Drosophila melanogaster: one gene and its partner. The protein of the gene in region 1 purifies or fractionates together with the protein of each later gene. This does not show direct contact. Each region holds a gene or a part of one and is shown on either strand. Other genes may lie near its edges.

What was found. The genes of interacting proteins can lie anywhere in the genome.
Region 2: the proteins of H15 (region 1) and Set1 purify together in Drosophila melanogaster (affinity purification with mass spectrometry, with the first as the bait; one large-scale study listed by BioGRID). This does not show direct contact.

Annotation. Positions count from the first base shown.
Region 1 is NT_033779.5:5,402,013-5,407,305, reverse strand, and holds the start of H15 (H15), read right to left. Parts: upstream 3,027-5,293; 5' UTR 2,427-3,026; coding exon 2,114-2,426; intron 396-2,113; coding exon 1-395.
Region 2 is NT_037436.4:25,105,322-25,110,656, reverse strand, and holds the start of Set1 (SET domain containing 1), read right to left. Parts: upstream 3,064-5,335; 5' UTR 3,027-3,063; intron 1,661-3,026; exon of another isoform or gene 1,419-1,660; intron 1,380-1,418; exon of another isoform or gene 1,357-1,379; 5' UTR 1,313-1,356; coding exon 1,053-1,312; intron 998-1,052; coding exon 748-997; intron 694-747; coding exon 1-693. UniProt on the Drosophila melanogaster protein: Catalytic component of the COMPASS (Set1C) complex that specifically mono-, di- and trimethylates histone H3 to form H3K4me1/2/3. Binds RNAs which might negatively affect its histone methyltransferase activity.

The DNA of each region.
Region 1 (5,293 bases):
TGGCGAGGGCGTGGCAGCGGCTCCCACTGCGGCAGCAGAACGCCCTCGCTGGCTGCTTGATTTGCTGTTGGTGTTGCTGTTGCCTGAGTTGCTGCTGTTGTTGGTGTTGCTGCTGTGATGATTGTGATGTTGGCGTTGTTGCTTGCCAGTTGTTGCGTGGTGATGTGTCTGCTGCCTTTGTTGTTGCTGCTGCTGCTGTTGTTGCTGTGCAACACGCAATGCCTGACGCGCTTGTTGCTGCGCCTGCAATGCTGCCGCTGCAGCCGCTGCTGTTGTTGCCGCCGCTGCTGCTGCCGCAGTTGCCGACGGCATTTCCGAGTCACTGCAGTCGACCACATCAACGTCAACATCATCGTCCGCATCCTGGCCTGAATAGCGCTCCACAGATGCGGGACCTACACGACCAGAAATGAATGGGGGGCAGAATGCGTCAGTAACTAAGTCCCAATTATGGAAAAACAACTACTTGCAACTACAAAACACAATCATTAAAAATTAATGTTTGATACAAGTAACCAAAAATAATTAATATTAAATATAATGATACTTAGAGCTTATAAGTTTATAAAAAAGATTCCTACGAATTTCTAACAGTAAAGAATGTGTATTTAAGTATATCATTTCTTAACAGACATAAGTGCTAATTGTTTGTTGTCATATTAGAAGAGCATATTCTTTCAGTGCACTTAGAAAAGAGAGACATCAGCGTGGCTCGTTAATGTGGGAGTTGCTGCTGGGCTGCAACATGTTGCATGTTGTCGATGACGAGTCGCAACAGCAATGCCAACGAGAATCCAGTTCGCGACCAGATGCATTTTACAGATTACGCCAGAAATTCAATTATTTGCTCAAAATGCAATTTCATATGTTAATTTCGTGTGTATTTGTGTGCTGGCATTGCCAATGAAAATTGCCAATTGAAAGAGAATGGTGTGCACGATGGTGGGGGGGGGGTCGGTTTTCACACTAATGAATGCATCTGTTTGCGCTTTTGTCTCTGCCCAATTATGGCATCTAAATAGTTTTGCATTCAGAGTGTATATACAAATGCGATTATACATATATATGTATCTGCTCTGCGCCTGTCATGTGCATTTCCCAACCCCTTTGGCGCATTCAAATAGGCTTTGATTATTTTATTGCCGCGCATTTGCTGCAATTATCAAGTCATCAACGTTGCATTGTCATCAATATATAATTTATATTGCACAAAAAGGGCAGCAAAAAATGTGGAAAATATAGAAATGTAATGCAGCTGCGACAGTTTTTCAAGAGGTGGGTAATAAAGCAAGTGAATATTACTAAGCAATCGATTACATGACTCTTTACCAAAGCCAATGAAATATGTTTATATATTTTCCTAACTGCTTTACGTGTTTCTAGAAATATATAGAAATATCAACTACATTTCAATTTTCTTGCTAGCACACTAACCTACTAATTTGCTTTTGTTCTTCATCAAGTCTCAAGTATTCAAAGCCAATTTGCTACACATATATTTTTCTGGCAATGCATTTTGTTTCTGCTCTTATGTGTGATTTTATCGAGTTCTATTTCGATTTTGAGTGTACTTTCCTAATCTTGTATCTGAAATCTGAATTAAAAAATTCACATAAATAATACATAAATGTGATAATTGGCTCTTCGTCACAGCTTGATTATTTTCAATCATTTATCAAGCCTTTCATATTTTAATCCTGGATCGTAAATATTTATAGTTAAATCAGCAGACAAGCCCGTAACTTGGGATAAACATCAACATGCTAGATATGCCAGAGTTAAAATCTTTTCAAACTTTGACTGGCCAATTTATTAGTCTCAATCGAAAGAATGGAATATTGAATATGTTAATAGAGTGAAACTTGTTTGTAGTAAGGAGCTGAATATGAATTCAAGAATCATAAGAAACATACGTTCATGAATGAAGCGATGGGACTCAAATGAAGATTGGTTTTTAAGCTCGTTTCATGCAAACTAACGATATCAAGATACTTATTGTTCTGAAACCCAATCGAAAATGAAGCCCTAAAATGCATTGGCTATTTTTGAACAGCTCTTGAGTCTAGTTTGCGATGTAGGCCTGATATTTTAGTGCGGGAATTACTTTACTCACTCAGACTGCGTTCCGAAGGTTCGCGGCTGCTTGGGGCGTTTCCGCCGCGCGCCATAATCGCCGCAATTGAGAAATCCGTGGCGAAGGAAATGTTGTGCTGATTGTGATTGTGATTATGATGGTTGTTCAGCGGATGGTGATGATGATGGTTCTGATGATGATGATGATGGCTGCTGCCGTTGGCTATGTTCGCCGCTGCCGCCGCCGCTGCCGAAACAATCTGCTGCTGCAGCTTCGACTTGAAGTTCTGCGTCTGCGACGGCGAAGGCGTTTGCTGCGGTTTCGTATTCGCCGGCTGATTGCTCAAAAGCATTTTCGGGCCGAGACCAATTGGTAATGCTGCTGCACGGATTTTAGCCAATTCTTGCCAAATATATGCTCTCAAAGGTTTCGGACTTTCTTTCCCGCTTTTGTTGGTATTTTCTTTATCGTTTGCCTATTTGTTGCCCATTATTTGATATGTTTGTATTTGCATTAGTTCTACTATTTTGGGACTTGTTTGTTTAATGCTCTTTAAAATATTATATTCGGATTTAAACTGAATTCTTTACAATTTTCTTCAACATATTTGTTGATTTTTTGCCGGCTTTTGCTTTTAATAATTTAAACTGCTTTATCACACAGAGTTGCTTTGCTTCCTTTTTATATATGTATGTATGTTATTATTCTTGTGCCGTTTGATTTTTTATTAAATAATAAAATATTATAAAATTTGTCTAATTTTTTTTTGCAAATAATGTGTATTATTTTTTCCAACGTTTTACGACACACTTTGCGACTTGACGACTTTACGCCCGTATTTGCGGTCTCCGGTTTTTCGTGCTATTTATCGTAATTTGCGTATTCTCGAGTAGGAAACGGGAAATTCCGGAGCGCCGTCGCTGCTTCACAGTCACGCAGCTGACCATTGAATGAATCCCAATTCGCTTTTCGCCATGTAAACGCCAAAAGCGCCAAAGCCAAAGCCAACAAAACCAACAAAAAAACGCAACGCAAAAATCAACAACAAATACGAGGACGCCGACAGCGAAGCCAACTGCGACGTCGACTGACCCCCCAAAACAGAAACAACAACAGCTGATGTGTCTTACGGCGAAAGGTTTTCAACACCACGTAACGCGACGTAAGGAAACATTTCCAGAGAACATGGCCCGAAACTTTCCTTACGTGACGTAGGCAAACCGCCAGTTTAAACCGCAAAAGAAATATGGGAAAAAATACGGTTTTCAATTAGACTGGTGTGAGCGAGATGGCCACACATGCAGTGCATTCCCATGCTGCTTGCAGCGACGTCGGCGTCGAGGCATAACTCATTTCCATTTTCCAATTCGAACACACATTCCCATGCACTCAAAACAATACCAATTCATAAGCTAGCCGCGTGTTAGAGCGAGACAACTCTATATAGCCGTATTTGAGTGAGAGCCTTTTGTTGCTGCCATCTCACTCGTGCCGCTAGAAGCAAGGGAGCGCGAAAGAGAGCGCGCTGAGGAGTTCATAAATTCGTCATTTTGTTTTTGGCTGTTGACAGTTCTTTGCTTCATTGTTGTTGTTGCTATGGTGAGTGTGAGTGGATTTTGTTGGTCGGGGTTGGGGGTGTGTTTCACCGCTTTTCGTCGACTATTTACAATTATTCTCAACTCGGTCCGATTCCATTCCGTTTCTCATTGGCTATTCACCACAGCGCACTGAGTTGAGTGGAAAAGCGAGTGAGTTTCGTTCTAGTTACGTTTACTGTATAAATTGAGAATATTGAAAAATTCTTTTAATAATATTTAATTTCATGGTATCTCTGAAATTAATATTATTGTTCTTGATTACATATTTTTTAAGTCTTAAATAAACGATTTTATATTAAGAACTAACCTATAACATTGAAATGAATGTTTTATAAACATAACCTTATAAAGCATATTTAAACATGGTAGGGAAATCTATAAAATTCAGGAGAGGAAATTAATGTAAAAAATGAACAAAGGGGTTATCCCGCATTTGCCATCATTTTATTGTTTGCCAGCATTTTATGTAAAATATTTCGAAATGTTTTCTGTTTCCACATTTTTCTCATTTTATTCAAAAAAATTGTACAATTTTGAGCTATGAAAAATGTATTGAATTGTTTCGTTACAAGTTGTATTTTCACCAAATTCCAAGAAAAATATATTTATGTATTTGTATTCTTGTAATTATTCATTCCCTTTAAATGTCCTTTAAACATCCTAACCATCACCCTATAATTTTCCAGACCGTCAAGAGAAAAAACAAAAAGTCCTGCGACAGGACTTATCTGAGAAAGTGTCTCGTGTGCTGGGTCCTCCAATTGAAAAATCATAATTGAATATCTGGGTTCCTGGCACTCCTCCCTTTTGTCCGCCCACCGGCGTATGTAAATGTTTTTAATTTAAATGTTTGCTCAAAGGAAACAACAAAAGATGGTTGGAAAAAAAATGCGACTATGGCGTGTGAACGCAGCAGAAAATTATAGACCCATGGAAAAGGGAGGAAACTGGTGGGGTGAGGGGAAGGGGCTCTGGTGGTGCCACCATCTTGTTTCCCTCCGTCAGACTTTTTTCACAATTCGTCAGCTGCGCCCTTCGTCCTCCTAGGATGATGTCCTCTTTTCCCAGCACTGCGAGAAAAGTTGAATAATTTCGCTACATTATCGAAAGTGTAAACTATTTAAATTTTATGTCTTGTATGTTCTGGTTACAATACATTTATCTTAAAATTTAGTTTTGGTAACTTTTATATTAAAGTTTACAACATATTGATATGAATGTGTTTATTATCTAAATATTTAATAAAAATGTTTAGTCTCAAATGCAAAATTTAAATTCAAAATGCGTCTTATTTTAGTTTTCCCAGGTGTAATCGTTGTTTTTGTCTCTGCGGTTTCATTTGCATGCGATTCGTGGTTGCCAGCCGATGTGGCGCACAATTGAGCCACTAATGGTGATGTTGATGGTGGTCGGATCGGTGGAGGGAGTACATTCGGCTATATGTGGTATCTGGAGTATAGGGATACAGACAGGGTGGGCCGCAGCTCGCTTTGTTTGCTTTGTCGCGGCTCGGTGACAATTTTTCAATGATTTGTTTCCTGCCCTGAAATCTCATTTGCATATGCCACCATATTTTTTCAACTTTCCAGGTTTTTTTTTGGGGGGGTTTTCCCTGTTTCTA
Region 2 (5,335 bases), on another chromosome or scaffold:
TATATATTCATGCAATGAATAGCGGCTACAATACTTAAGACTTCCGCGATCCCTTTGATCGATTTCAGCAGATCGGTCGCGATCTCTCCCGCGGTACTCTCGATCTTTAGATGAGTTATAATAATGTTCTCTTTTTTCTCTGGGCTGGTCTCGGCCTTTTTCATGAGATCTTTTACGGTCTCGAAACGACTCTCGCTCCCTAGAACGACAATAATCACGAGGACGTGAATCTGAATCTCTAGATCTTTCTCTTGTCATGATCAATATATCCCGAGAATCTTCCGGCGATATATCACTAGAACGGCGTCGATAAAAAGTACGGCGACGCCTTATTGAAGTTCCAACGTTTTCTCGCATTCCACGATCACGGTCATAACTTCGCTCTGACGAGTGTCGACTGCGCTCCTTAAAATGGCGATCTCTTTCTCTTTCCTTGTCGCGATTCCAGTTTCGATCCCTACTGCGGTTTGGAATTTCATGATTGGTTTGTGTGGTGTAGATATCCTTTATGTGTTCGCCGTTCTTTTCAGGATATCCGTGGATGAATTCGGTGTCCTCCAAAGCCGCCTGCTGAAATGTCCATTGCGGTGTTACTTTTGGACCTATTAATTGTTTTCCAGCGACTGAATTTGTAAGGCTCTCAAGAGATTTTTTTAATGTGGCACCAAAAGGATCGCAAAACACATCTAAGATCTACAATACATAGATACATTAGAACAAGACAAAAGCTGAAAAACTTCATCATACCTTTCCCATTACAGACTTTTGATTGTATTTTTCAACGAATTGTCTCGCTCCCTTTGTACTATCAAACACTATACGTGCAATGCCCAAGTGTTTGTTTGTGATGGGATGATGGTAAATATTTATTTCATCAGATGTTCCACATTTGTCCAGCATGCTAGCAAGAAATTGCTTGTCGATGTTATCATTTAGGTTCACTATTGTAACTTCGACTGCAGGTGGCTGGCCCACGTAGTCGCTATCGATGACAAACCTATGGGTACGGACCAGGTGTTTAGCTGAAATATTTTAATTTAAGCAATGGTTACCTCGGAATAAGAAGCATAAGTGGTTCAACAGCCCTGGCGCGTATGCGAATAAGTGGATTCCGAGGATCTCTAGGTGTTATTGTTGGATAGGACGGGTCTCCTGGCATTAAACCATCGTAACGATAGAGTCTGGTACCACATTTAACCAACTGTGGATCAGATAGCAGTTTAAAGTTGCGCGGCATTTTGGAGTTTGCCAGAGACGAATCATGGCTGTTGCTGGAATTGTTGACCAGGTTGATATTCCGAACGTCCTGCATCTGTGTCAATTATGAACAAACCTAAAACTCAGGAACTGTAAAAGCTATATATAACACAACAATTTTAAAGAAATTTATTGCTTCTTGAATATAAAATCTTACATACCTATTTTACTTATTAACAAAATAATAGAATATAAAAATATTTAGAAATATCACAAAAAATTTTCTGCGATGTTTTTATTTGAAAGGGATCAACAGCGAATATATAATATATAATTATATTAAAATCGTTCACGCTGCTTTTTTAATTAAAAAACAAATAATTAAATTACTTTTTTAATCATTATATTGGTTGGATGATAAAATTAACTCTCAAATATATGAAATATTGAATCACAATGCAAATAATACACAAAAACGAGGCTTTCGATTTCTAGGGGCGATAATTATGAAATCGATTTCGTAAATAATAACTAGTTCAGACTATGGCTAATTTGGGGAGTTGGGTAAATGTTGTTTCTATATTTCATAATACCGTAAAGAAAATTCTAGGCCAAGAAAAGTTAATAATCCGAATCATATATTACATTTAAAAAAAAATACGTATTACTTTCATGTAGTTGCGTTGCCTTTAGTTGCATTTAAGCGTTCTTAATCTATAACCCTATAATATAATATATATTATATATAATATAATATATTCTTAACTCTATAATATAATGGGCGAAACTGAACGGTAATTAAATACATACCCCACCAATTTTTATTAAGAATCAAATAAAAAGTTTGGTTGAAGTCAAATCTATTTTTGTTTTAACTTTTGTGAGTTCTGTGGACTTCCGAAATACTTCCATAAACATATAAGTTTTGTTTTCGCTTCGAAAATAAAATTAACAAGCAAGATTTTAATAATTTCAGTAAGAATTTCAATCTGAAACTGATTTTACAAAGTGCATTATTCTTATAATAACGGTTTTTATCAGTGACAAGGACACGGGCAGCGAAAATGGACTTTGGTCAGAAGATTTCGATTCCTTAAAACTGTTACCTGATGAATACGTAAACGGGATGGATATTTTCTTTAAAAAAGTTTTAATGCTGACTAATTGGTTCGAACGCTCTTTGTTTAAAAGTTTGAAAAGTGCTTATGTCTGCTGTCGACGGTAAAGGCGTGTGAAATGTTTGAACCTAGGTTGCTGTCGATCGTGAATAAGATTTATTTCGCCTAAGGAGTTCAAACGTTTAAGTGGTATTGATTTAAATAACTTTCACAGTAGGCTCTGGGCTTATGTTGATAACAGGGTTTGGTGTCTAGGTTATTTGCATCACTTATACATTATATAAGATTGAAATAAAAAAATTACGTTTTAATACACAGCTGTGTTTTTATTTGTTAGGGTTATATCAGTGAGTTGCCAAGTGTGAATCTGATTTTAAAAAATGAATTATTCTAATAACTACAGGGGATAGCGTCGTCAACTAGCCTTTTTGTTTTAAAGTTTTCGTTTAGATAAGAAAGCATAAACAAGACCACAGGTGTGCTCGATAAGTTGGTAGATTTTTGCGATTAGAAACAACACTTAACAAGATACACTTACAACAGTTCGGATATGAAATTATTTTAAAAAACAATATTTTAAATAGATCTTATGAAATATACACTTTCGTCTCCCTATATACACATATATTTTTTCGTGTTTTTGTAAGTAATTTGTTTACAGTGGGTTCAGTTACAGCATAGCAGCCCCAAATTTAAAAAAAACTAATTTACTTTAACTACAGATTTTTAAGTCTCCTCCGGACACTCTCCTAATGCGCTTCGTCACCACGTGGATTGCTGTCCACAGTTAATATTTTATATATTTCTATATGTTGGATAGACGCGTACCCAAAAAGTTTTAGTTGGTATACAAATTCTTAATGAATTCTTTCCCTTCCTAAATTCTGATACTTCATGTAATGTAAGATCGTCCTAAATAAGCCTTTTTTTTAAAAAAAAATGTATTAAAATATTAGGCAAAGCTGGCGAAACGCCATAACTTAATGCATTAATTCATTTGCTTCATATGTATATTGGTAGAAACTCTTGTGTGACTAGACTCTTTCTCTTTATTACTAACATATATCTAATTTAAGTATTTGTTGCTTCTGTTAATTTAAGGTTGAAACTCTTCACGGAGTTTTCGATGCGTTTTGAGCTGTTTTTACCTTTATCTTTCACTTTCCTAAACTAAATTAGCTTGTATGTATGAGTGCTACATTTTAAGACATTTTAACATTTTATAGGCATCGCGTTAGAGCTTAGCAAAGAACAAAAGAGAAGGCTATAGTCGAGTTCCCCGACTTTCAGATACCCGTTACTCAGCTGGTGTGAATTCGAACGCGATAAATATTGGGGAATTAAATGAGAAAAAATTTAAAAGCTGTTCAAAAGTGTCGGCGTGACCAGTTTGTGGCTTTAGAGCGTTAAAGTGGGTGTGGCAAATTTTTTTTTGGCAAATCGATAGAAATTTACAAAACTAATAAAAAATATCGGCTTGTGGGCGTTAGTAAAAAACATCAAAACATTTATGAAAGTGTGCTGCAGTTTTTTAAGGCTTGTTAGAGTGGGTGTGGCTAATAGACTTTGTCTTGTCGGTAGCAATGGACAAACAAAATAAAATGAAGCCTTTTGCAAGCCTTTTTCAAAAGTATGGATATAACAAATTTGTGCGAATTTGGTCAGTGTTTTAGAATAAACTTGTCCTGTGTGTACGTCAATACGTATGATGATTTCTTCGGTCAATAGTTTCCGGCTTGTTGAGTCAACGATGAGGGGGCTTATCGATTCACGATTTGGTGTTTAAATGGATTCCGGATCGCTCAATGATTACTCTTAAATGGACCAAAATTGAAAGGCATAGAAATAAGGCGCGGATCGTGATAAAATGCTTTAAAGTTTAGTCTTAGCCACACTGACGAGCTTGGCAGTTGCAACTAAACTTTTCACTTTTTGCCATGCCCACTCTAACGCCCACAAACCGCCCTACGCTGCCATACATTGATATTTTTCATATTTTTATTGTAAATTTCCATTGATTCACCCCAAAACTGTTTGCCACGCACACTCTGGACCAAAACTGTCACGTTCACAGTTTTGAAGAATGTTAATTCGGTTAAGAGCTTATTTGTTTATTTGTTTGTTACTGAAAATAAGTCGCGCCAACAGCTCCAATGACTCAAGTTCAAATGGGTTTGTACCATTGGATGACCGCGAAGTGCAGGAGCAGGAGCAGAAAAAGATAAAGCCGCCACCAATTTATATACGTGAGAAAACCTCAAGTGCGCTGGTTAACAAGCTAGCTGCAATTATCAGAGAAAACAGTTCCATGTTACACCACTTACTAAGGGCAACATACAAGAAACGAAAGTGCAGACTTAGGATAAGTCTAGCCACCGATCAGTGTCCAAGTACCTGAACGAAGCTGGGATAGTAATAGAGACATCAGTGACCTCATCCGAAATTATCGCGGCACTAAAGGAGAAGAACTATAACGTCAAAACGGTAATCAACATTCTCAACATTCTCACAGGAATAAAGAGCCGCAGCCACTCTTTAAATTCGAACTGGAGACATCGAGTCAGAAAAACAACAAAAATGAAGTACATCCTATATATAAGCTACAGTATTTACTGCCCCGAAGAATAACCACAGAATAGCGACACAAGCGCAGGCAACCTGTGCAGTGCACCAACTGCCAAGAATATGGCCACACCAAAGCGTACTGCACTCTAAAATCTATCTGCGTCGTTTGCAGCGATGCCCACAGTACTGTAAACTGTCCTTAGAATAAAAACGACAGTTTAATTAAGTTATGCAGCAACTGTGGCGAAAACCACACAGCTAACTGGCGAAGATGCATTGTTTACAAGGAACTCCAGAGCCGCCTAAACAAACGAGTGGATTCAGGTCGAGATCGTATCACACCAACAATTCACAATGCAATGAAACCGACAACTAACATCCCTTCGTCTGCCGAACAATGCCAAATTCATCCTTTGCAAGTGTACTAAAATCAGGGATCCAAGTACCAACAGCAG